4 linked regions of the Caenorhabditis elegans genome follow. The protein of the gene in region 3 interacts with the protein of the main gene of each other region in a pairwise test. Each region holds a gene or a part of one and is shown on either strand. Other genes may lie near its edges. The genes, in order: idpp-12, rbmx-2, cir-1 and erm-1.

The links.
Region 1: the proteins of cir-1 (region 3) and idpp-12 interact in a two-hybrid assay, tested with the Caenorhabditis elegans proteins (one large-scale study listed by BioGRID).
Region 2: the proteins of cir-1 (region 3) and rbmx-2 interact in a two-hybrid assay, tested with the Caenorhabditis elegans proteins (one large-scale study listed by BioGRID).
Region 4: the proteins of cir-1 (region 3) and erm-1 interact in a two-hybrid assay, tested with the Caenorhabditis elegans proteins (one large-scale study listed by BioGRID).

Annotation. Positions count from the first base shown.
Region 1 is NC_003282.8:3,301,842-3,305,843, reverse strand, and holds idpp-12 (Intrinsically Disordered Protein, expressed in Pharynx), read right to left. Parts: upstream 1,855-4,002; 5' UTR 1,837-1,854; coding exon 1,518-1,836; intron 1,467-1,517; coding exon 1,363-1,466; 3' UTR 1,275-1,362; downstream 1-1,274. Other genes in the region: W08E12.4 (CC domain-containing protein), read right to left, coding at 2,952-3,058, 3,110-3,428.
Region 2 is NC_003280.10:6,195,012-6,199,265, forward strand, and holds rbmx-2 (RRM domain-containing protein), read right to left. Parts: upstream 1,938-4,254; 5' UTR 1,925-1,937; coding exon 1,746-1,924; intron 1,699-1,745; coding exon 1,569-1,698; intron 1,443-1,568; coding exon 843-1,442; 3' UTR 800-842; downstream 1-799. Other genes in the region: cpb-2 (Cytoplasmic polyadenylation element-binding protein 2), read left to right, coding at 1-121; C30B5.2 (Vacuolar protein sorting-associated protein 55 homolog), read left to right, coding at 2,224-2,239, 2,406-2,481, 2,525-2,708, 2,795-2,917; szy-4 (Suppressor of ZYg-1), read left to right, coding at 3,779-3,881, 3,932-4,020, 4,066-4,236.
Region 3 is NC_003279.8:5,653,025-5,658,171, reverse strand, and holds cir-1 (CBF1-interacting co-repressor CIR N-terminal domain-containing protein), read left to right. Parts: upstream 1-2,314; 5' UTR 2,315-2,351; coding exon 2,352-2,518; intron 2,519-2,565; coding exon 2,566-2,855; intron 2,856-2,904; coding exon 2,905-3,405; intron 3,406-3,531; coding exon 3,532-4,256; 3' UTR 4,257-4,344; downstream 4,345-5,147. Other genes in the region: wdr-12 (Ribosome biogenesis protein WDR12 homolog), read left to right, coding at 263-354, 398-495, 546-640, 692-798, 851-975, 1,027-1,121, 1,231-1,552, 1,607-1,732 and 2 more; F55F8.3 (Periodic tryptophan protein 2 homolog), read left to right, coding at 4,596-4,613, 4,668-4,780, 4,825-4,919, 4,967-5,066, 5,119-5,147.
Region 4 is NC_003279.8:5,283,904-5,292,535, reverse strand, and holds erm-1 (Moesin/ezrin/radixin homolog 1), read left to right. Parts: upstream 1-1,841; 5' UTR 1,842-1,900; coding exon 1,901-1,918; intron 1,919-2,017; coding exon 2,018-2,101; intron 2,102-2,342; coding exon 2,343-2,543; intron 2,544-4,217; coding exon 4,218-4,372; intron 4,373-4,694; coding exon 4,695-4,854; intron 4,855-4,902; coding exon 4,903-5,085; intron 5,086-5,824; coding exon 5,825-6,004; intron 6,005-6,086; coding exon 6,087-6,434; intron 6,435-6,967; coding exon 6,968-7,073; intron 7,074-7,150; coding exon 7,151-7,317; intron 7,318-7,845; coding exon 7,846-7,938; 3' UTR 7,939-8,474; downstream 8,475-8,632. Other genes in the region: dnj-4 (J domain-containing protein), read left to right, coding at 8,610-8,632.

The sequences.
Region 1 (4,002 bases), on a different chromosome or scaffold from region 3:
CTTTTATAGCACCCCATCAAGCATCGCCAGCTCCTTTTCCTGATCTAGTTGGAGCCTGAATCAACGGAAGTGGGCGGTGTGTCGGGTTGTTGCATCCCCATTGAAAGTCATAAACTGTGCGATCCGTAGGACGTGCTCAGTTTTGTGACCGACCTTGCACACTTTTGAGCAACAAAACTGGATGCTCTTTTTGATCATGCATAAAGATTTGCCATGATAGGGTAAACTTGATACCACGACTAGTTTTTTGAATGGAATTTGGGAAGTTCTTATCATTTTTATAAAAATTTTCTATCAGGCGAACACGGATTTCTGGCTTCGCTCATAAATTGAAATGGAAGAGTTTGCCGAACTAGGCCATTTTGGCTCGGGCTTGTCTGGGGTAGTTTTACGGCGCGTTGCGGCTCGATTTCAGTTGAAAACTAAATGTATTTGTCCGTGTGGAGTACACGACACTTTTCCACGCGTTTTCCGGCGGGCAATTGTCAATGGAGCGCGAAAAATTCAGTGAGGAAGGCCAGAATCCCGTGAGCGAAACGACTATTCTCCAAGCGCTTCCCCAATTTTCGCCCGGAAAACGCCTTCACGCTTCTCGACTGGAAAATGTTTCAAAATTTCATATCTCCCACCGATCACATGTAAAATTAACAAGAATCTCTCAGAAATTGAAGTGTATAAAATTTCAGAAAAATATTTAAACTTCCACCCGATAGAAGTGCGCTCCATTTGGAAAACTTATGAAAATTTGCTGAGAAAATGATGAAAGACATTTAATATTGAGCGTATTGCTGAGTTGCACCTGTTCTGTAGACAGATTGGCCGAGGTTTCGCTTTTTCTAGGCCAAGTGACAAAAAGTGTGCGTCCGCACGTGGTGTCAGGCTATCCCATTTCGGTTTGATCTACGTAGATCTACGAAAATTGCGGGAATTTAGACGCAGACTTATCAACTGATTTCGCATGTTTAAACTTCACATTTTTCTGGGGAAAAAGTTCCCGCGGTTTTTGTAGATCAGCCTGTAGTGCCTGCTACGCAACTTATAGGCATAAATTTTAGGGCGACATTTTAAATTGTCCCCTACAAAGCTTGTGCTCTGATCAAACGAAGTTTGTATGTTGAATCTGGTTTTTCGCTGATCTCATCTTCCTGTTTGACTACAACGTCCGAAGAACCGTTTGCTTGAAAAAGAAGTATTGTGGAAAAAGTCTAGTCTTGTTTCTCCATTACCAACTTTCTGTTATGCCACAGGAACCACCTAACTGTTCAGAAATAAAATATAAATTCAAACGTGTTTATTATTACGTATAAATCTAGGTTTCGTATATACAAAAATTGGATCAAGTAATCAGACGATCGTAGAGATTTACTCTTGGGTTGGAGCAGCGGTGGTGGCCTCTTCTGTGTTCTCAGCTGAAGCGGCGGCAGCAGAGTTATGACGACGGAAACGGAATGGGCAGCACGAGAAGTCTGAAAGTAGCGAACTCTTTTTGAAAAACCATGCTTACGACGAATACTAACTGTTATTATTGCAGCATTGAGATGGCTGAATGAAGATCGGCTGTGGTGGGCAGCTATTGCACATTGGAGCACAAACTGGTCCGTTACATGGGCTGCACGAGCATCCGTTATTGTTATTCGGGACCTGGACTACAGTGACTTGTGGTCCACAGTTATTTCCATTGCATCCACAGTTGTTACCCGAACATCCACCACAGTTTCCTCCGAAGCATGGTGGTGGTGGAAGGAAGATTGGTCCTCCTCCGCATCCACCTCCGAAGCATTGAGCCGACGCTCCGGCGATGAGAGCAAGAAGAGCGATGAGGCAGGCGGATTGCATGGTGAAACGGATAAATGTAAGAGCTGATGGTTCTAATGTAAAAGTATTCGCTTTTTATACGATGCCGCCTGGGGGAGACAGGTCGGTATGTTTATCAGCTGGAGGCGGAGCGCTGCTCTAGTTCCGCAAGCATTTTTTTGCCGCGAATCACACAAACTTTGTGTAGCGCTACACATACTTATTCAAGTTCAGTTCCAATTAGCAACTAGTTGTATCTAAACATTGTCTGAAAAACTGACAAAGTGATACTGAAACCCAACGCGTCTAGGCTTCTAAGCTTCCAGACCGCATTTGACGTCACACTTTTCAGAAAAACTTTGCAATTTCAGCAATGAAGGTGGCTGAATGAAACGTTATTAACTCGCTCTTTAGGAGAGCAACTTCCTGCCAAAAATCTTGACAAATTAACTGCTGAGTAAGCTCTTCCATTAATGCCAAAGTCTTGTCAGGTATCTGTAAAAGATGGACAGGAAGCACGTGGAGTCAGAAGGTCTTATTTCGATTTGATCTTCAAAAAATGCGGAAGTTGAGACGCATGCATCTCATCTGATTTTGCATGACTGACGTCACAATTGTTCTGTAAAAATATTCCCGCATTTTTTGTAGATCAAATTGTATTGAGACAGTCTGAAATCACGTGAGGACGTTGCAACCAAATACAGCGAAATTCCTTAAAAAAACAGTGTGAAAACTTTTCAGGCTTGAATAGTCTCACTTCAGGAAGTTATTTTTCTATGAAAATCCATGAATATTGAATTTCCAAAAACTAAGGCAAAATTTAAATAAAACGAATTTCCCACTTCCAAACCTTGTAAAATATTGTTCTGTTTAAGGGGCCTACACTTCATGGCTTCACGAATTTCAAGCTTCAGAATAATCTTTTTCAGTCGTATACAAATTGGCTATGGATCTGAAAGCTTGGCATTGGACCGGCCCAAATGCATTAAGGGTCGAGATTTAAAATGCATTAAACTTTCAGTTTTGTGATAAAATTTCTGAAAAAGAAGAATTGAGCTTCAATTTTTAGAATACTTGGACTAATTCATATTTATTAATCTACCAAAATGGGTTGCTTTATATACAAAAACTGGGAATTAACTTTTAGAAGTTGGGATCTATTCTTGAGCTGGAGCAGCTGTGGTTGGCTCTTCGGTGATCTCATCTGAAGCGGCAGCAGCAGCAGAGTTATGACGACGGAAACGGAATGGGCAACAGGAGAAGTCTGAAAATAGCAAACTCTTTTTGAAAAACCATGCTTGCGACGAATACTAACTGTTATTATTGCAGCATTGAGATGGCTGAATGAAGATCGGCTGTGGTGGGCAGCTATTGCACATTGGAGCACAAATTGGTCCATTGCATGGGCTGCATGAGCATCCGTTATTGTTATTTGGGACCTGGACAACAGTGACTTGTGGTCCACAGTTGTTTCCATTGCATCCACAGTTGTTACCCGAACATCCACCACAGTTTCCTCCGAAGCATGGTGGTGGTGGAAGGAAGATTGGTCCTCCTCCGCATCCACCTTCGAAGCATTGAGCCGACGCTCCGGCGACGAGAGCAAGAAGAGCGATGAGGCAGGCGGATTGCATGGTGAAACGGATAAATGTAAGAGCTGATGGTTCTAATGTAAAAGTATTCGCTTTTTATACGATGCCGCCTGGGGGAGACAGGTCGGTATGTTTATCAGCTGGAGGCGGAGCGCTGCTCTAGTTCCGCAAGCATTTTTTTGCCGCGAATCACACAAACTTTGTGTAGCGCTACACATACTTATTCAAGTTCAGTTCCAATTAGCAACTAGTTGTATCTAAACATTGTCTGAAAAACTGACAAAGTGATACTGAAACCCAACGCGTCTAGGCTTCTAAGCTTCCAGACCGCATTTGACGTCACACTTTTCAGAAAAACTTTGCAATTTCAGCAATGAAGGTGGCTGAATGAAACGTTATTAACTCGCTCTTTAGGAGAGCAACTTCCTGCCAAAAATCTTGACAAATTAACTGCTGAGTAAGCTCTTCCATTAATGCCAAAGTCTTGTCAGGTATCTGTAAAAGATGGACAGGAAGCACGTGGAGTCAGAAGGTCTTATTTCGATTTGATCTTCAAAAAATGCGGAAGTTGAGACGCATGCATCTCATCTGATTTTGCATGACTGACGTCACAATT
Region 2 (4,254 bases), on a different chromosome or scaffold from region 3:
ACATGCTCCATACTTCTGTCCATCTCTTGAGTGCTTCCAGTACTACTGTGAGCCGTGTTGGCACAAAATGCATTCGCATCCAAGTCGTTTCCATCACATGCCAGTTGTCAAGGGAGTCTGAGCACTAATGTCTTTGAAATAAATTTGTTTTAACTCGTATTTTCATGTAATTTGACTACTTTTGAATTAATAAAGATTTATATTCAAGTTGCTAGTCTCTGCGATTTTTTGGAAATTCGAATAATTCGGAACCCGGTCTTGAAGCGACCGAAATCTCATAGCTACCGTACTCGAGTATGTTACTACGGCGTACTGTAGTTGATGTATTCAAAAATTTCAAGTTTCTGTTTTGAAAATTAAAAAAAAATTAGTTAATTCGTTTCCATGGTTGTTGGCAGATTCAATGTTCCTTGTGGATTTCGATGTTCCCATCACAACAAAATTTGTTGCATTTATTGGTGGTGTTCGGAGACGTTTTTGAGCAATTTAATTGAAACGTGGTGTGTGCATAAGGAAGTAAAATTCGAAATACTCTCGGATACAGAAGCTTCAGAGTTTCGATCACGAGTACCATTTTACGACTAGAATATCACTTTATACTGAGATTTTGTACTTTTTGAGAGCTTCGGAAGACATGGGGAAGTGTGATTGAAATAATAAGATAGTTTGGATTGTAATGGGTATACTGTACTTTCCAACTAGACTGTGAGTTTTTTTGCAAGGGTGTGTGTATTTTCGACAAAACTAATTTTCCACAAAAGTTGGTTCTAATTGCAATGCCATGGCAGTTGACGATTTAAAAAAACAAATAAAAATTTATTAAAGTGAGAAAAAACAAATATTCATCTTCCTTGATATCTTTTTGACACATAATGATCCTCTGGACCCCACGCTTCTGATGTTTCTCCTCTTGCTGCTTTCTCTGCCTTCTCTCGTTCTCGGATGACTTTCCAGATTTCAATATCTCTCCAATCAGCTTTCTCAAAATCTGGTCTTGGATTATGTTTAACTTCTTCAACTTCTTTCTTCTTTCCAAAATCAAAGTGCTTGTTCTCACCATACAAATCATCTTCAGCCACAACTTTATCGATAAGTTTGGCTTTATTATTCCAATCCCCATCTGGATCTCTTGCAGCTTTCTTCTCCAATTTTCGAATTTTCTTTGCTCTCTTCTTTTCCCGCTTCTTCTCCTTTTTTGCTTTCTTCTTATCTTTTTTGATTTTTTTCAGCAACTCTTCATCAACATCTCCAATATCTAATAATACTTCTTTGGCTTTCTTGATTCTCTGTTCTTGAACTTCCATAGGTGCTGCTTCTCTCATTACTGGTTTTGGAGCACATCCTTCTTCCCATAATCGTTTCGTTTCATCATCGGCATCTTCTTTGTATTTCGGGACTTTATATTCTTCCACATGATCTACACGAATCATTCGTTTGTGTAACTGAAAACAAAATACTATTTTTGTTGTCGTTTAAACGATCGATTTTATTTGAAAAATTTGAAAAAGGCTTTATATTAATGTTCTATCAGCATCTTTGCATTTTTTTTAAATGAATTAAAAACTTACGCTGATTCCATTGAAGTTGTCCACTGCCAAAATCGTACTTCTTTGATCTTTGTAACACAAAAAAGCAAATCCTTTCGACTTTCCTGTGTCCTTATCTCGAATTAAATTGATATTCATAACTTCGCCATATCTGAAAAGAACTTTATAAATTGAGAAACAATTTTTTGCAAAACTCACTGAGAGAAAACGGCAATAACATCCCCTTCTGAAAGTGCGTATGACAAACCACCAATGTAAATCCAGGCAGAATCTTTGTAAGTTTGATGCCACGATTTTTTGAGATCTCCAGCGTAACCCAAACTGAGCTCCCGCTCGTTCATACGGTTCTGATTTTTGATATTCGTAATCGGATTCATGTTTTACTGCAAAATGTTAATTAATCAGTGAAATATAACTGAAAACAAGATCGCAACACGGAATAATGGAAATTAAAGAGAAAACTAGATTTCGTAAATTGAAAAGGGGTACGGTCGAAAGTCTGCAAACACAGCGACGTCAGAATGCACACATCTCGCGCTTTCCCCATTTCTGTCTTCAGTTGCTTGCATCGATTTTTCTCTTTGTTTTTGTGTAATAATTATCTTTTCGGTCATATAACTTGTTTCAGGGAACCTGGATTTATTCATCAAATAAGTTTTCAAGACACGAGTTCATAATGGGAGGAGTACGAGGTATTTATGTTTTTAACGTGAAATTAAAGTTTTATATTTTCTTAAATCCACGCTTATTTGAATTGAACATTCTTCTGATAATTTTTATTCCCTGAAAGATTCATAATGTGCTGTCATATTCATATACAGTGTTTCGATTGCTGCTCTATGAAAAATACAATTTTAGCTGTTGCTGCACTGGCGTTCGCCGGAGTTGTTGGCCTCACTTTCCTCGTTCTTGGATGTGCCCTGCCTAGGTACGGGTTAGTTTTAAACGTCTTGAAAATGCTAATATTCATTTTTTAGAACATGGACCCCAATGTTTGTTATCACATTCTACGTTCTTTCGCCGGTACCACTTCTCATCGCCAGACGCTTCCAAGAAGATATGACTGGAACAAATGCATGCATTGAATTAGCTCTCTTCATCACCACTGGAATTGTCATCTCCGCCTTTGCTCTTCCGATAGTGCTGGCACATGCAGGAACGGTAAGTATAATTTAAGATCAAATTTTGGGTAAATGTGGAATGATGTGAATAAGTTTATGTAACGCATGAATAAATGTCCAATTCAGATAGCAAACAGTGCATGCTTCCTCGTCAATACAGGATCTGTGATTATGTTCGGTACAATTATTGCATATTTCTACTTGCATCGTGATGACGACAGTGGAAGCTGGAGCCAGTCTCTGTTCTAAATCATTCACTTCACTATTAATTTCTTGTCAAGTAATTGTGGTTCGTCTATTTATTTCAATTATCGCTAAACCTTGTACAACATGTTAATTTTTTTCAGATAGCGATGTCCGCGTGCTTCCTAATCTTCATCGCCAATTCAATCAACTTTAGCGTCATCATTTTTTACTTCCGCATTTTCAACGGCGAGGATATGAATGGGATGTCATTGTGGTAACAATCGTCTGGTCATCATCTCCTAACTTATTCTTTTTCGATTTTCCCTATATTCTACTTCGTTACTCTCACTTTCCTCGGTGGATTCTCAAACATTGTATAAATATAAAGAATTGTTCTGTAAATTTGGCAAATAAAAGTTACCAAAATAAAAACTGTATTAGACTTCCAACTGTAATTAATTTCTGGAAACTACAATATTAAACTCAGAGCGTTTGCTCATTTCATGTAATTACAACTCATGAAATTCAAAAGTTATGAACGTTATAGTTTAATTAACTTGCGTTCGATTTTGATACAGCCTTCCTCAATGTCTAACATGTATTTGGGCAGGAGAACTATTGAATATTTCACGGTATTTTCATTTCATTCACTTATTCGTCAGAACTGATATCGTGCTTTTATAAGCTTTCAATTAAAAACTCAAAAAAAATAAACTTTAATTGATACGGTATACCGTAACATTGGCAAATTTAAAGGAACATTCACCAAATTTCTGTTAAGGTCTCGTTGGGTGATTCCAAACAGCATTGTGCGCGCGCTACTTTTAAAAATTTTTCATTTGTCATCAACAAATTTGCTTGATCAATCTTGTGCTATCCCATTTTTTCTATTTTGTTTAAGTTAAATTTCATGAATTGAAAACTATGAACAAGGACAATTCTCCCTCCGAAAGTCTCGTTAACTCGAGTGCTTCGGAAGATAAAACCGTGAAGACTTCAATGAGCGCCAATAATCCTTCAATAAATGGTATCTTTAGTTTTATTTAAAATTTATGGATAAATTTTATTTACTTTCAGATAGCTCACTCCCAGAAAGATTGCCTGCCATGTGTGGATGTGATTCTCAAAATCGGGAAGAATCTGCAAACTCCGGAGTTCAACTATCGGTTTGTGATTGAATGAAGAGAAAAATGCATAATTTTTGTTTTTAGGATCATGCGAACGAGTCCCTATCGAAACAAGCTGATGACGTTATATATGAGGGCGGGCTGGAAGATAAAGATTCAGTATTCCGTGCAATTATTGAAGACGATGATGCTTGCGAAGTATTAGATGATGGAATCGATAATTGCGAAGTGGAAGTGCGAGGAATTAAATATAGAGTGCGATCTAGAGCTCAT
Region 3 (5,147 bases):
CGGAGGATTTATTTTTTTATTCATTTTTCATTGCAATATGATTTTCTGATTTTCAATAGCTCTCAAAAAAGCAAAAATTTATCAAAACATTGATTTAAATGTTATAGATTTTCGTTAGTCCCCTTCATACGGTATTTTTGTTTCCGGTTGAACCCTCACATCTCCTCTTCTCTCTTCTTGTATTTATTCTTCGTTTGTCTCTCATTTCTTACTTGCTTCCCAAAAATTTTCTGAATAAAATCAATTATTTTCAGATCGAAAGATGGACTTGGCGGATTTAATGGAAGTGGAAAACGGTGATCACTCAATCAATCAGAAGCACGTTCAAATCACCTTTTTCAGTAAAGATGAAGAGTAAGTTAGAATTTTATCCAAATGCATCATGTTCGTTTTTCAGAATTCCGCAAATTCCGGATGCCGTCTTTGATGTTCCGACTGGAGCAGAATGTGATGATATGAATCTTCTATTGAACAAGACTATTGAAGCCAATGATGGTTTATTTCAGCTATTTCAAATAAAAATGTTATACAATTTTATTTTTCAGGTGCATGGAAAGAGCGGCGATTCGAATTTCTGGTTGGTGAAACGTTTTTGCGCACGAGTCTAGCTGAATTCATCGAGGAATACGAAGTGGAAACGGTAAATTTCATTTAAAAAAAGTTTAGAGTTTTAATAAAACAAGCTCTGCAGGAAACAATCCTTAAAGTGGAATGCGTAATTGGAATTGAAGCTCCAAAACCACTTCATGATATCCAAGCGCCTGATTGGGTTTCTTCGGTACAAATCGCAAACGGCCAGTATGTTTTTTCCGCTTAATGTTTGGTAAAAGTCTCATTCTGAAATTTTCAGCATTTTCTCAACAACCTACGGAGGAGACATTGTAATTGTGGATCGTAAAGGAAAAGAGACAAAGTTGGCTGTTAATTCAGCAAATCGTCTTTTAAAGTGCATCTCAATCGTCAAAGCACCATCTAGTCAGTTTTAACACTAGTTGAAATTTAAAAAAACGATAATTTTTGTTTCAGAGAAAAATCAATTGGACGGTACAGAATTTGTGGTCGGCGGTGAAAATCAACTGCTGACTCTCTATGCAATTGAAAAAGGAGCACTTGTTGAGAAGGTTAGGTGTTCGAATTTCGGGGTTATCAGTTTTATCAATAAATTTTGTTTCGAAAATTCTTTTTTTTTATTTTGCAGTCATTACTTCATTCTTAATAAAAATTTTCCAGCTCATCCTTCGTGGTCATGAACGTGCCGTCGAATGTGTTTCAGTCAACTCGGATTCGACCCGTGCGATTTCTGGATCAGTCGACACAAATCTCAAAATTTGGAACTTGGATGCATCTGATGAAGCAACAACATATGAGAAAGAAGAAGAAGAAGAAAGTGCGAAGAAACGCCGAAAGAAAGAAACCAAAACTAAAGTTCCGATGGTTACGATTGGAGGGCATCGTGACAAAGTATCCGCAGTCGAATGGTGTCCATGGAATTCTGGACACGCATTTTCGTGCTCGTGGGATCATACTATTGTTGAATGGGATTTGGAATTAGGTTAGTTCTAATGATAAATATCCTATTTATATACAAAAAATAATTTCATTCAAGCTGGTGAAATTTCGCGGATCAAAGGACCCAAATCATTCACAAGCATTGATCTTCATCCGAAGAGTGATCTTCTCATCTCCAGTTGTACTGATGCTATTCCAAGACTTTATGATCCAAAAAATAGAGGTTTGTTTGTTAATATTTATTTAGTCTCTTGTATTTATAAAACATTTCAGATGGAAGTATGGTTAAACAATCATTCATTGGACATCAAAATGGATGGGTTGAAGCTGTCAAATGGAATCCGTTGGATACAAATCAATTTGTTAGTGTTTCCACCGACAAAACTGCGAAAATGTGGGATGTAAGGTAGGTCTTGTTTCAAAAATTAAAGAACCATTCAGTTTTTACTTTAATATTCGGTTTGTTTCAGATCCTCAAAGTCTTCATTGTTCGACATTCATGGACACGATGATCGTATTTTGTGTGCCACGTGGAATGAAGGACTAATTGCAACTGGATCCGCAGACTGCACAATCAAAATCTTTGAGACTGCTTGATTTGTTTTGTTTTTTGTTATTCTACAAATTCTTATATTGTTTTTTTTTCTATATACCGCGTTTTCTATTTGTTGATTTTGATTTTTTGTTGAACTTTTTATGAAGTTATCCACTTGAATTTATTTTCCATTACCTTCTGACAGTTTTGAACTGTGTTAAATATTTCAATTATTTTTCTTTCTTCAATTTTTCATTCAAGTATTTTCAGAATTTTTCAGTGAGAATCAAAACAAAAGCGTTGCAAAATGGGGAAGGGTTTTCAAAACTTCATGTCCAAAAAGGACTTCCATCCATCCGCTTTTCGGAATCTCAAAATGGTCTGGGAAGCACGACAGAAGAAGTCTTTGGAGGACAAACGACAAGAAGAACTTCGAGTTGCTTATGAGAAAGAGCAAGAAATTTTGAATAACAAGTATGTTGCATTCAATATCTTCTCACTAGATTATAAATATTTTTCAGAGCTCTTCTTGGAGACGAAAAGGCCAAAATGGGATTATCGTTCATGTATGATGCTCCAGCTGGAATGACAAAGAGAGAAGAACCGAAAGAAGAGCCGAAATTCGAATGGCAACGGAAATATCAAGCACCACGTGAAGATTGGGCTAAAGGAAATGAAGAGATCCAAGATCAACCATTCGGAATTCAAGTTAGAAATGTTCGATGCTGTAAATGCCACAAATGGGGTCATATAAATACGGATCGAGAATGTCCATTGTTCGGAAAATCTGGAAATTTTGAAGATGAAGGATGTAAGTTTCCGAAAAAAAATCGAATTAAATGTGTAAAATCAATTTTCAGATGCAAATAATCCATCAGACCTAATCAAAGATCTTCGTCGGAGACGACAGGAAGGCAAAGCAGGACCTTCAACATCGAAATCGTCTGCTGCTGCGGCGACAGGAGAAGATGACGATGAGGATGAGTGGATGGATCATCAGCAACTTGCGAGTGATATGCGTGAAGAACATGGAATCAAACTCAAAAGTTCTGTTTTGGCTGGAATGCAGACAGATCAACAGCTAACAAGAATGAAAAAAGAAATGACCGAAGAAGAAATGATGCTGGAGTTTTTCAATTCGATGACTGAAAAGGAAAAAAAGAAATTGCATAAGAAGCTGATGAGCGGTGCAGATTTGGAAGATGTAATGAAGAAGAAGAGTAAAAAAGAGAAGAAGAAGGAAAAGAAAGAGAAACGGAAGAATAAAGACAAGAAGAAAGATAAGAAGAAAAATAAGAAGAGCAAATCTCGTGAAACTGATGACGATTCTGATGGCAGCGATAGTGAGGATGATTGGAAAGGTATTTAAAGATGAGGTTTTTACATAATTAATTTGATCCTAAACACTTGTTCATTGATATCAAATATTAACGAAACGCTTAGAGTAGTTATTAGTTTCTCGATTTTTCAACCAGTTCATGTTTCAGAAAAATCATCGAAAAGGATCAAAAGAGAAGTGGAAAGTTCTCCGGAATACAGATCGAAGTATATCAAGCAGGAAGTTTTATCAGAAGACGAGAATTCCCATGGAAGAAAGGATTCGAGCCGAAAAAGAGCGCATAATGATTCAGAATCGTCAAACGAAGTAAGATCGTCAGAGAGGAAGAGATCTCGAAGAGATGATTCTCCGAACGCCAAAAGAAGTATCGGGTTGAAATCGCCGGAGAGGAGAAGCTCACGAGATCGGAAATCTTCACCCAAACAACGTCAGGATTCACCAGTGAGAAGACGGCGAAGTCCATCGTCGATTCGGAAGGAAAGTCAGCGTGTTCGTAAACATTCACCAGAACAAAAAAGAAATGGCCGTCATGATTCACGATCAGTGTCCCCTGTTAGAAGACGTCGTTCTCCGTCTCCTGACAATCGTCAGCTGGGTTCGAGAAAACAATACTCGCCACTGCGACGTCGCCAATCATCTCCGATGGTTGCATCACCAAGAAGACGTAGATCTCCATCACCAGAACGACAGCGCAAGAGACGTTCACCATCCGATTCCCCGCCAACAAGGCGTCTTTCTACGTCACCGATCCGACGTCGTAGAAGTCCATCGCCCAACAAGTTGCCTGTGAGAAGGCGTCGTCATGATTCCGGATCGCCTGATCGTGATGGATCTGAATCACCGAAAATGTGGAGAAAGAAGTCGCATAAATGAACGCTATTCAAATCAATTTTTAAAATTATTAAATGTGGTTTTCTTTTAAATTTTTTCCGTCATGTCTAATAAAGTATTTTCACACATTTTTGCTGTTTATAAATTTCTTGTATTTGGTGTTTTATAAATAATATTCTTAAGAATATTCTTCAATGGAAATGTTTTTATCTCTCATTGCGATACTTCTAAAATCCGCAATTGCGTCAACGCACGAGAATTGCGCCAATGAAGATTCTTAGCGCGGAATTCGTGCTTTGTATTTTATATAAATAAAATATATTTTAGTTTTCATTATTTCTTCCATTTTCAGCTTGTTTCATTGAAGTCTTGCCATTCACTATGGACACTAATTTCAAGGTAATTATTTGAAGCGTTAATTATTCAATTAATATTCCACCAAACCCATTTTAGTTGTCCAATTGCATTGGTACAGTGTATCGAGACGGTCAAGTGGCGTTCAGCAAAGATGGATACTCAGTGATTTCACCTATTGGCAACAAGCTATCAATTTTTGATCTCAGAAAGTAAAAAATAATTTTATATTCACATTTGATATATAATTTTTCAGCAATACTTCAAAAACATTGGATATTGACTGCAATTACAACATTAAAAGACTCTCTATTAGTCCATCGGGTTATCATCTTCTTGCTTCTGACGAGCGTGGGTTATAATGAAACCTATTCGAAGTCAATATTAATATTCTTCAGGTGGAGTTGTTCACTTTGTCCATTTGCTGTCCGAATTCAAAATATATACTTTTCGCAGCAACAAACCGATCGGATCACTTCAGTGGTCACCAGACGCAACGTAAGAAAAAAGCAAATAATTGCAGTTTCTAAACTCATATTTTCATTTCCAGCCGAGTTGCTATTTGCCGTGAAAACGACC
Region 4 (8,632 bases), 370 kb from region 3:
CTGTTCTAATACGGTATCCAGCTGAAAATTTAAGCCAGTTTGTGTGCTTTATTGGCTTTTTCCATCAAATTTTTTGTTGTCATGTTATCTCAACATTTTTCAAAATTAGTGTTAAAATATCGAAAAATTACTTGATTCGTCTGAAAATAAACTTCAATTTAGCTAAAACATTTAAGAAAGCTTTTAAAAATGGCCTGAAAATTGCCAGTATCCGATTATCGAATTATCAGATTTTTTGTCTAACAATTTGCAACTTTCCCACCGATTTTGAGCATTTCTTCAAATGTTTCAGCTAAAAATATGTTTCATTTCCAGATAAATCGAGTGATTTTCGATATTTTGACACTAATTTTTAGTGAAAAACGTTGGAACAACATAGCCCAATAATTTTGTAGAATTGCCGGAAATAATAGCCCTGTACCTGTAAATCAAAATCAATATTCCCACCTGTGACACATATTTTTCTGAATAATTTTTTGATTCATGAAACTTTTTCTTTAAAATAATTAAAGCATTAAAAAAAACTCAAACTCGCCAAAACTCCCAAGAAACTGTCCAGGCACCCGAGAATCGCGCCAACGCCCTGCTGGCGCGATTCTCGTGCAGTGGCAAATCGCAGAACGCGCCAAAAACGGATCCGAACGGGTTTGAATCAGACGATGACTCATTTTTTATTGTTTTTCGAGTTTTATTGATTTTTTTTAATCGCCAAATGTATAAATCCCCCTAAAATATACACAATTTTCCATGTGTCACTTTGAATTTTCGGATAAATGATTGAAAAATTAGATTTCTCTATTCAAAATTTAAAATTCATAACCTTGAACTCATTTGTTTCGTTTTCTTCGCTCCGTTTTCTGATTTCTCATGAATTTTTGAAATCTCTGTTCATTCGAATTCTATTTTCACATCTTATTTTACTTTCTTGCAGAAAAAAGTGACGAAGATTTTCGGTGGAAAAGTTTCGTGAATTCTCACCGCTCACCCCAATCCATCTTCGACTCGGACATCAAAAAGAGCTAAAATAATGTCGAAAAAAGCGGTAAGTTTGAAAAATGTAGCTTCAAATAATTTAAAACTTTTACGGCCAAATAAAAAAAAACACTGTTTAAATTTGCGATTTTCTTATTTCTTTCGGAAAAAATGCCGCCATTAATTAAAAACAAATGGAAAAAATTTGAAACTGTGAAATGTTGAATATTTCGGAAATTATGTTCTGTTCAGCACGACTTCTGCCGATTTTTTTAAAAAATAAGAATCTATCGATCTAAAAATATACTCTGTATTTTATTTTTCACTTATAAGACTATAAAGAGGCATATTTCTGCAAAATGGACTCATTTTTGAGGTTTTGTTGAAATTTTCGAAAATAGAGGGTTTCAATACCATTTTGCATAAATGCGCCTCTTTTTAAACATATAAGTGGGAAATAAAATACAAAACATATATTTTTTACAAAATTAATTTAAAAAATTTTAGAAAACAATTCAGATTTTTACGCTTACGAAGTAGAGCCGCGAACAATTTTGAACTCGAAATAAACTCAAAATTGATGATATTTGAAATATCATTTCATTCTTTTTTTTTCTGCCGAAACTTCTATGAAGAAATGCGCACATGTATGTGTGCAAACCGACAAATAGGCGGAGCCTGTACAAAAACGGGCGGTCTATAGTTCTTCTCACTCCGTTTTTGTGCTGTATACAGGGAGAGAGAGTGACAACTCATATCATTTAGTTTTAGATAAGAATTTTAAATTCTCAAGTTTCACTCTTTTTTTTATTTTGAATTTCTGATTTTCATGCAAGATTTCTTATATCATTTTACTGAAAAATTTTAAGCTAACCTCTTCATATCAATTGGTCCAGCAGTTCAAACTTGTGGAACACAAAATAGAAAAATGGTTGCGGCCGGCGATGTAAATTGTTAATTGAAAAAATTTTTTTTAGAAATTTAAGAAAAAATATAACGAAAAATCGATTTTATTTTTGCCTAATCCAACTATTTCTTGTTTCAGATCAATGTGCGTGTCACCTCGATGGACTCGGAGCTCGAGTTCGCTATTCAGTCGAGCACCACAGGAAAGCAACTTTTTGATCAGGTTAGATGATTTTGTTTTATTATATTTAAAAAGTACTTTTTTTATTAAATTGGAGAATGGATAAATTTTAATAATTCAAAAAAAAAATCAGAATTTTCTGAAACATTAAATTTTCACTAACCATTAGAAATTTTAAATCAAAACGATTTAAATTTGAAAAAAATAATCCAAAATTTCCAGCTCTTGAAATTGAGTTTCGAATTTTCCAGCAATATTAATTCCTTCATTTTAATTTTTGCAGGTTGTCAAAACCATTGGTCTCCGCGAGATCTGGTATTTTGGACTTCAGTACACTGACAACAAGGGATTCCCAACATGGCTGAAATTGAACAAGAAAGTCTTGTCTCAGGACGTTAAGAAGGACCCGACTCTTGTTTTCAAATTCCGCGCCAAATTCTATCCGGAAGATGTGGCCGAGGAGATTATCCAGGATGTCACTATGGTATGTTTGACACCTTTTTTTAAATATTTAATTTTTTGGAAAAAAAAAACTGTAAATTTTCCATTACCTCTGGCCAATATTTGATTTTTAGTTGTAATTCTCACTTTTCGCTTTTCTGACATTCTCTGGCGACTCTCTTGATTTCCTGTGCTATTTCTGATTTGTAACTGATAAGTAGAGAATGCCCGTGCCATTTATGCATGTAATGCAATGTTGGCAAGCAATAGGAAATAACTTTGGAGTATATTCAAGAATAGAAAAAAAGGGGAAAATTTTGGTAAGGAATACATTTCTGTGGTTTTAGAGTACCTTCTTACAAGCTGGCCTGCTTAAAAAGACCCCAAAACGACCAAATTTCAAAATGAAATTTCTCAAAAAATGCCCGAAAATGAATTAAAGCAGTGAAAATTCTGAAAAAAATCCGATATTTTTTCTGTTAAAAAAATCCGATATTTTTGCTAAAATTAGAATAAAGTTTTTTATGCCAGTGATAATTCAATAAAATGGCATTCCGATTTAGGAAAATTTGGCTCTTTTTTGAGAATTTTGGCTCGCTATAAAGAATTTTTGAATTTTTTAAACCAGTTTTATTTGAGCAAAAAAAACTCTTCTGCTCAAAAATTTCCACGGCTCATGTGCTCACAAGGTCCTCAATAAACTGCCTAAAAACAAAATATTTTGATGGTGACAAGTGTAAACATGGGCATTTTCTCCCTTCCGTTTCAAAAAAAGGTTCTCCCATTGAGAGTGTGGTTTCCGATTACCTCCGAGCCACTTTTTTGTCTCACACAAAAAGAGATTGTTTAATGGTTTGTAAACATCGATGGGAAGACACTGTGTGTGCGAGACTCTTTTTTTGAGAGGAGAAATGAGCATCCTATTAGAACCTCCGACTGCGAACAGGAAATCTCTGATCTGGGTGGTCTGTTTTGTTTGAATAGGATCACAAGATCAGTTGAAGATTTCAGTAGAATAGCTATTTAGTACCTATATGCAAATTGATTTAGTACCTATATGCAAATTTAGATCAGTTGTTAAAATTAATGTAAAAATTTCTTTTTTTTTTAAATATAGAAAAATACTTTTATTTCTATGAAAATAACATTTTTCAGTTGAAACATTTGAGAAAATGCACAAAAATGGTCTGAAAGTTTCTAATTCACAAAAAAACCTTTTTTGAGCACTTTCTCAAATGATTCAAAAATATAAATATCACTTCCGGTTAAGTAAATTGATTTTTTCTCTTTTTTTTAGATTTCCAATAATATTTCGCATTTGAATTTGAATAGATAGACTGACTTAAATTCTGTTCCGATGACTCATATCAATGGAAACAATGAAAAAACTCTCAGTTTGTTGCTGTCTCTTTGCTCTTTTTATATTCATGTTCATAACTGACATAAAGAGGAAGAGGAGAATGGCATGTGTGAATAATCAAAAAATGATTCAAAACGATAAATATGAGGGGAAGAGAATATAAATTGAACTTTTTGCAAAATTTGCAGAATTTTTTGTTTGGAAGAGGGAACAATTGGGTTTCAGAATCATTAGTTGAAAATGGAGTATGGTTTTTTAAAATGTCAGAAAACAATCTCAATGTACAGAACATACAGTTAAAAAATTATGAAGTTTTTTAACTGAAATTAAGCCTTAATTAAATGAAAATATTTTCAGCGTTTGTTCTATCTCCAAGTGAAAGATGGAATTCTGTCAGATGAGATTTATTGTCCACCGGAAACCTCTGTTCTTCTTGCCTCTTACGCGATGCAAGCTAAATATGGAGACTATGTTCCAGAGACACATGTCGCCGGATGTCTTACTGCTGATCGGTGAGTTTTTCTTGAAATTAGCTTTTAAAAAAATTATTAATAACTATTAAAAAATATCTTTGCGGTTCAAAATTCCAATCAAGATTACTAAAATAAGAAAAATAATAATTTTCTGCGATAATTCATTTTTAATTATGTAGTGAAATTTCACAGTATCACAGTACTCATACAATTCATAATTATCACATGAAAATGAGATTAGAATAAAGAAGGGAAAGTTCCAGATCTAGATGATCAATAAAAAAGTATATAATAAGAAGTAGTTAAAAAAAAGTAAACTTTTTATATTAAATGCCAAAAATAATTAATTATTTCATTCCAGTCTGCTTCCTCAACGCGTTCTCGGACAATTCAAATTGAACAGTGAGGAATGGGAACGCCGTATTATGACATGGTGGGCAGATCATCGTGCAACTACACGTGAACAAGCTATGCTTGAATATTTGAAAATTGCACAAGATCTCGAGATGTATGGAGTCAATGTACTGTTTCTCATTTTTCTGTCGAGTTTTAAAAAAAGCTAATTTCAGTACTTTGAAATCCGCAACAAAAAGGGAACTGATCTCTATCTTGGTGTCGATGCTCTTGGATTGAATATTTACGATAAAGCTGATCGTCTTTCGCCGAAAGTCGGATTCCCATGGTCGGAGATTCGTAATATATCATTCAACGACAAGAAATTTGTCATCAAACCAATTGATAAGAAGGCTCATGTAAGTGATTACTGTCACACACAGTTTGTCGTGGCATCAAGCTTCTATTTGTTGGCAAAATTTCTGCGGAAAAAACGGAAAAATTGTGTGATAGTAGTTGGAAGTGGTGGTGATAAGAAGCAATCGATGGAACATTGAATTTTGATTTAAAATTTTTTTGTTGGTTTTTCTTATTTTTGGGGTGTGAAAATATCACAATCATTGACCAGATGCGGAATGTTGCGATTTTGAGGCAAAAGTATGGTGCCCGGTCTCGGTCTCGACACGACCGAATAAATTTATTTACCAAAATGGTGTGCACCTTTAAAAAGTAGAGTAGCTCCAGGCCTTTCTGATTTCCAACTTCGTTAGATTTTTCTAGTTTATTAATTAATAAAAATTAGTTTCACTAACAAAAGTAAAATAAAAGGTTTTTACAATAAAAATATTTAGAAAAAATCTATGAAAATTTCAAATCAGCTCAACGGTAACTACTGTACTTTTTAAATGCGCACATCCTTTTTCATTTAAATTTATTCGATCGCCTCGATATCGAGTAATGTGTTTTTGTATCAAAAATCGCAAATTTCGAGATGGATGGAACATTTTGTGGAAATTGAGTTTGTTGTAATTTTTCTGAACATTTTTTCCCCGATTTTTTGATTTTAGAAAAATCGAAAAAAAATTCTTATTTTCGCTGAAAAAAAAATCGAAAAAATGTTTTTCATTATTCGTCTTCATTTTTATCATTAATTTTCAGGACTTTGTCTTCTACGCTCCACGACTCCGTATCAACAAACGTATTCTTGCTTTGTGTATGGGAAATCACGAGCTTTACATGCGTAGAAGAAAGCCAGATACCATTGAAGTTCAACAAATGAAGCAACAAGCCAGAGAGGATCGTGCTCTTAAGATTGCCGAGCAGGAGAAGCTCACCAGAGTAAGTTGCGGAAATTTTTGAAACATGTTTTTACAAATAATTTCTAAAAAAACTTTCACTCAAATCTGTTTTGATCGTACAGGAGATGTCTGCTCGCGAAGAAGCCGAACAGCGTCAACGTGACGCCGAAAAGCGTATGGCTCAAATGCAGGAAGATATGGAGAGAGCTCGTCTTGAATTGGCTGAAGCACACAATACAATTCACTCATTGGAGGCTCAACTCAAGCAATTGCAATTGGCTAAACAAGCATTGGAACAGAAGGAATACGAACTTCGTGAGCTCACTGCTCAACTTCAATCCGAAAAAGCAATGAGTGATGGTGAGAGACGTCATTTGAGAGACCAAGTTGATGCTCGTGAACGTGAAGTTTTTTCGATGAGAGAAGAAGTCGAGAGACAGACTACTGTTACAAGACAACTTCAGACACAGGTATTTTTTATTTTTGAAACTAAAATAGAAACAAAAAATTCTCTTTAAAAAAATTATTTTAAATACCGTATTAACAATTATCGAGCAGTAATTTTCAGTCTGAAATTACTGTTTTAAAATTTTAAAATGAAAAAAAGTATGCAGTAATTCCTGAAATTAGTTGATTACTGTAACAAAAAAGCTTAATTTAAAAAAAAAATTTGCAACAATAAAAGAGATACAAAAAGAAAAAACTAAAAAAAATTGTGAAAGAATAAAAAATCCGATCTTTAAAAGCGAGATTTTTTAATTGTACGCAGTGATGTTGCAACAAAAATTTCGGCCAAAAAACAAACAAATTTTGTTTAAAATTTCTCCAAAAAACCAACAAAAAAAAACAAAAATGTTCATTTTTCGTCATACCAACTAAAACATAAAATTTTTGATAAACATTTTTTTAAATGTTTTCTTGTCCGAAAAAACCAAAAAAAACGGAATCCCTGATTGTAACTCTGGATTTATTTTATTTCAAAATTATTTTTTCTTAAATTCAGATTCACTCGCAACAACACACTCAACACTACTCAAACAGTCATCACGTTTCCAATGGACACGCTCACGATGAGACTGCCACTGATGATGAAGATAATGGAGCAACTGGTATGCCTTTTTTATTTATTTAAAATAATTGGGAGAGATTATGAGAAAAAATATCATCTTCAAATTTTATCTTCCAGAACTCACAAATGACGCTGATCAGAATGTGCCACAACACGAGTTGGAGCGTGTCACAGCAGCCGAGAAGAACATTCAGATCAAGAATAAGCTGGATATGTTGACTCGCGAGCTTGACAGTGTTAAAGATCAGAACGCTGTCACTGACTACGACGTTCTGCATATGGAGGTTCGTATTTTAAAAAAACTCGTTTTAATGGATGGTTTTAGAGAATTTAGCATTCAAAATTTACAGTAATTTTCTAGAACCTGCATTTTTTTCATAAATTCAAGTTTTAAAAAATATTTCCGGACTGCGATCAAAATACAATTTTTTAAAAATTAAATTTGGAAAAAAACAGAAGAACGCAAAAATCTTTAAAAAATATCGAGTTCCGGATTATTTTAAAATAAAAAAAATCATTAAAAATCATTAAAAAGCCATTAAAAACAAATTTTGCTTAAAAATAATTTTATGATATTAAAATTGTTTGAAGTACAGAAATTGAGTTTTTTCGGTGTTTTCTGTTTGCAGACAAACCGAAAACATTTCTGAAAACATTCCAAACTCGGTATTTCCTTTACGGAAACAAGCAACATAAATTTTACTTATTTTTGAACAAGTTTGACCCTAAATTTTTTAGATTTTTTGAGCGAAACCGAAATATCGAAAAACCGAAAAACCTGCCGGCCCGATTCCAAATTTTTAAATTTTCAGAACAAAAAGGCCGGACGCGACAAGTACAAGACTCTCCGTCAAATCCGTGGAGGAAACACAAAACGAAGAATCGATCAATACGAAAATATGTAATTATTTGTTCTATCGTATTTCCTTTTATTTTTTTAAACAATATTCTCAATTGTCTCCCACCAACTTCCAAATGCTCATCATCTTGGCTCTTTTCTCCCTTTCTCGTTTTTTTTATAGGACAACAATTATTATTATTATTAATTTGAAAATTTATTGGTTTGTTCCGATTCACTTCCTTGTTCACCCCATCAGTGCCTTTTACAATATTATCCGAAATTTGTTTTCTTCCAAAAAATGCTCGGTTTCTCTATTCCCCTCTTCTTGTATTCGTCATATCCAATTTTTCAAGTAACTTGTTAAATCCGCCGCCAAAAAACCCCGAATTTCTCGCGCAAAGACTTCAAATTCTACGCTTTTCCCCTCTCTCTCCCCATCAAACTCTCGACATCCCCCTGAAAATGTTTATCTATTTTATTTTATTAATTATGATATTATTCAAATCTAAATATTCGACTCTTCTATTTTCCCATTTATGCGTTGTTTAAACACAGTTATTCAACTATGACTCATGATATTATGATAAATATGAATACGTGACATGTGAAAGAAAAGACTAAAAGGATTAATTGTTGGAACAATGGGGATATATGAAACAAAAAAAAATTAAATTATATTGCATATTTTTAATTGCTAGAAAATGATAATCATTTTAGAAGTAGAAGAGTTTTCAAATGCTCCAAGGGTTTCGATGGAG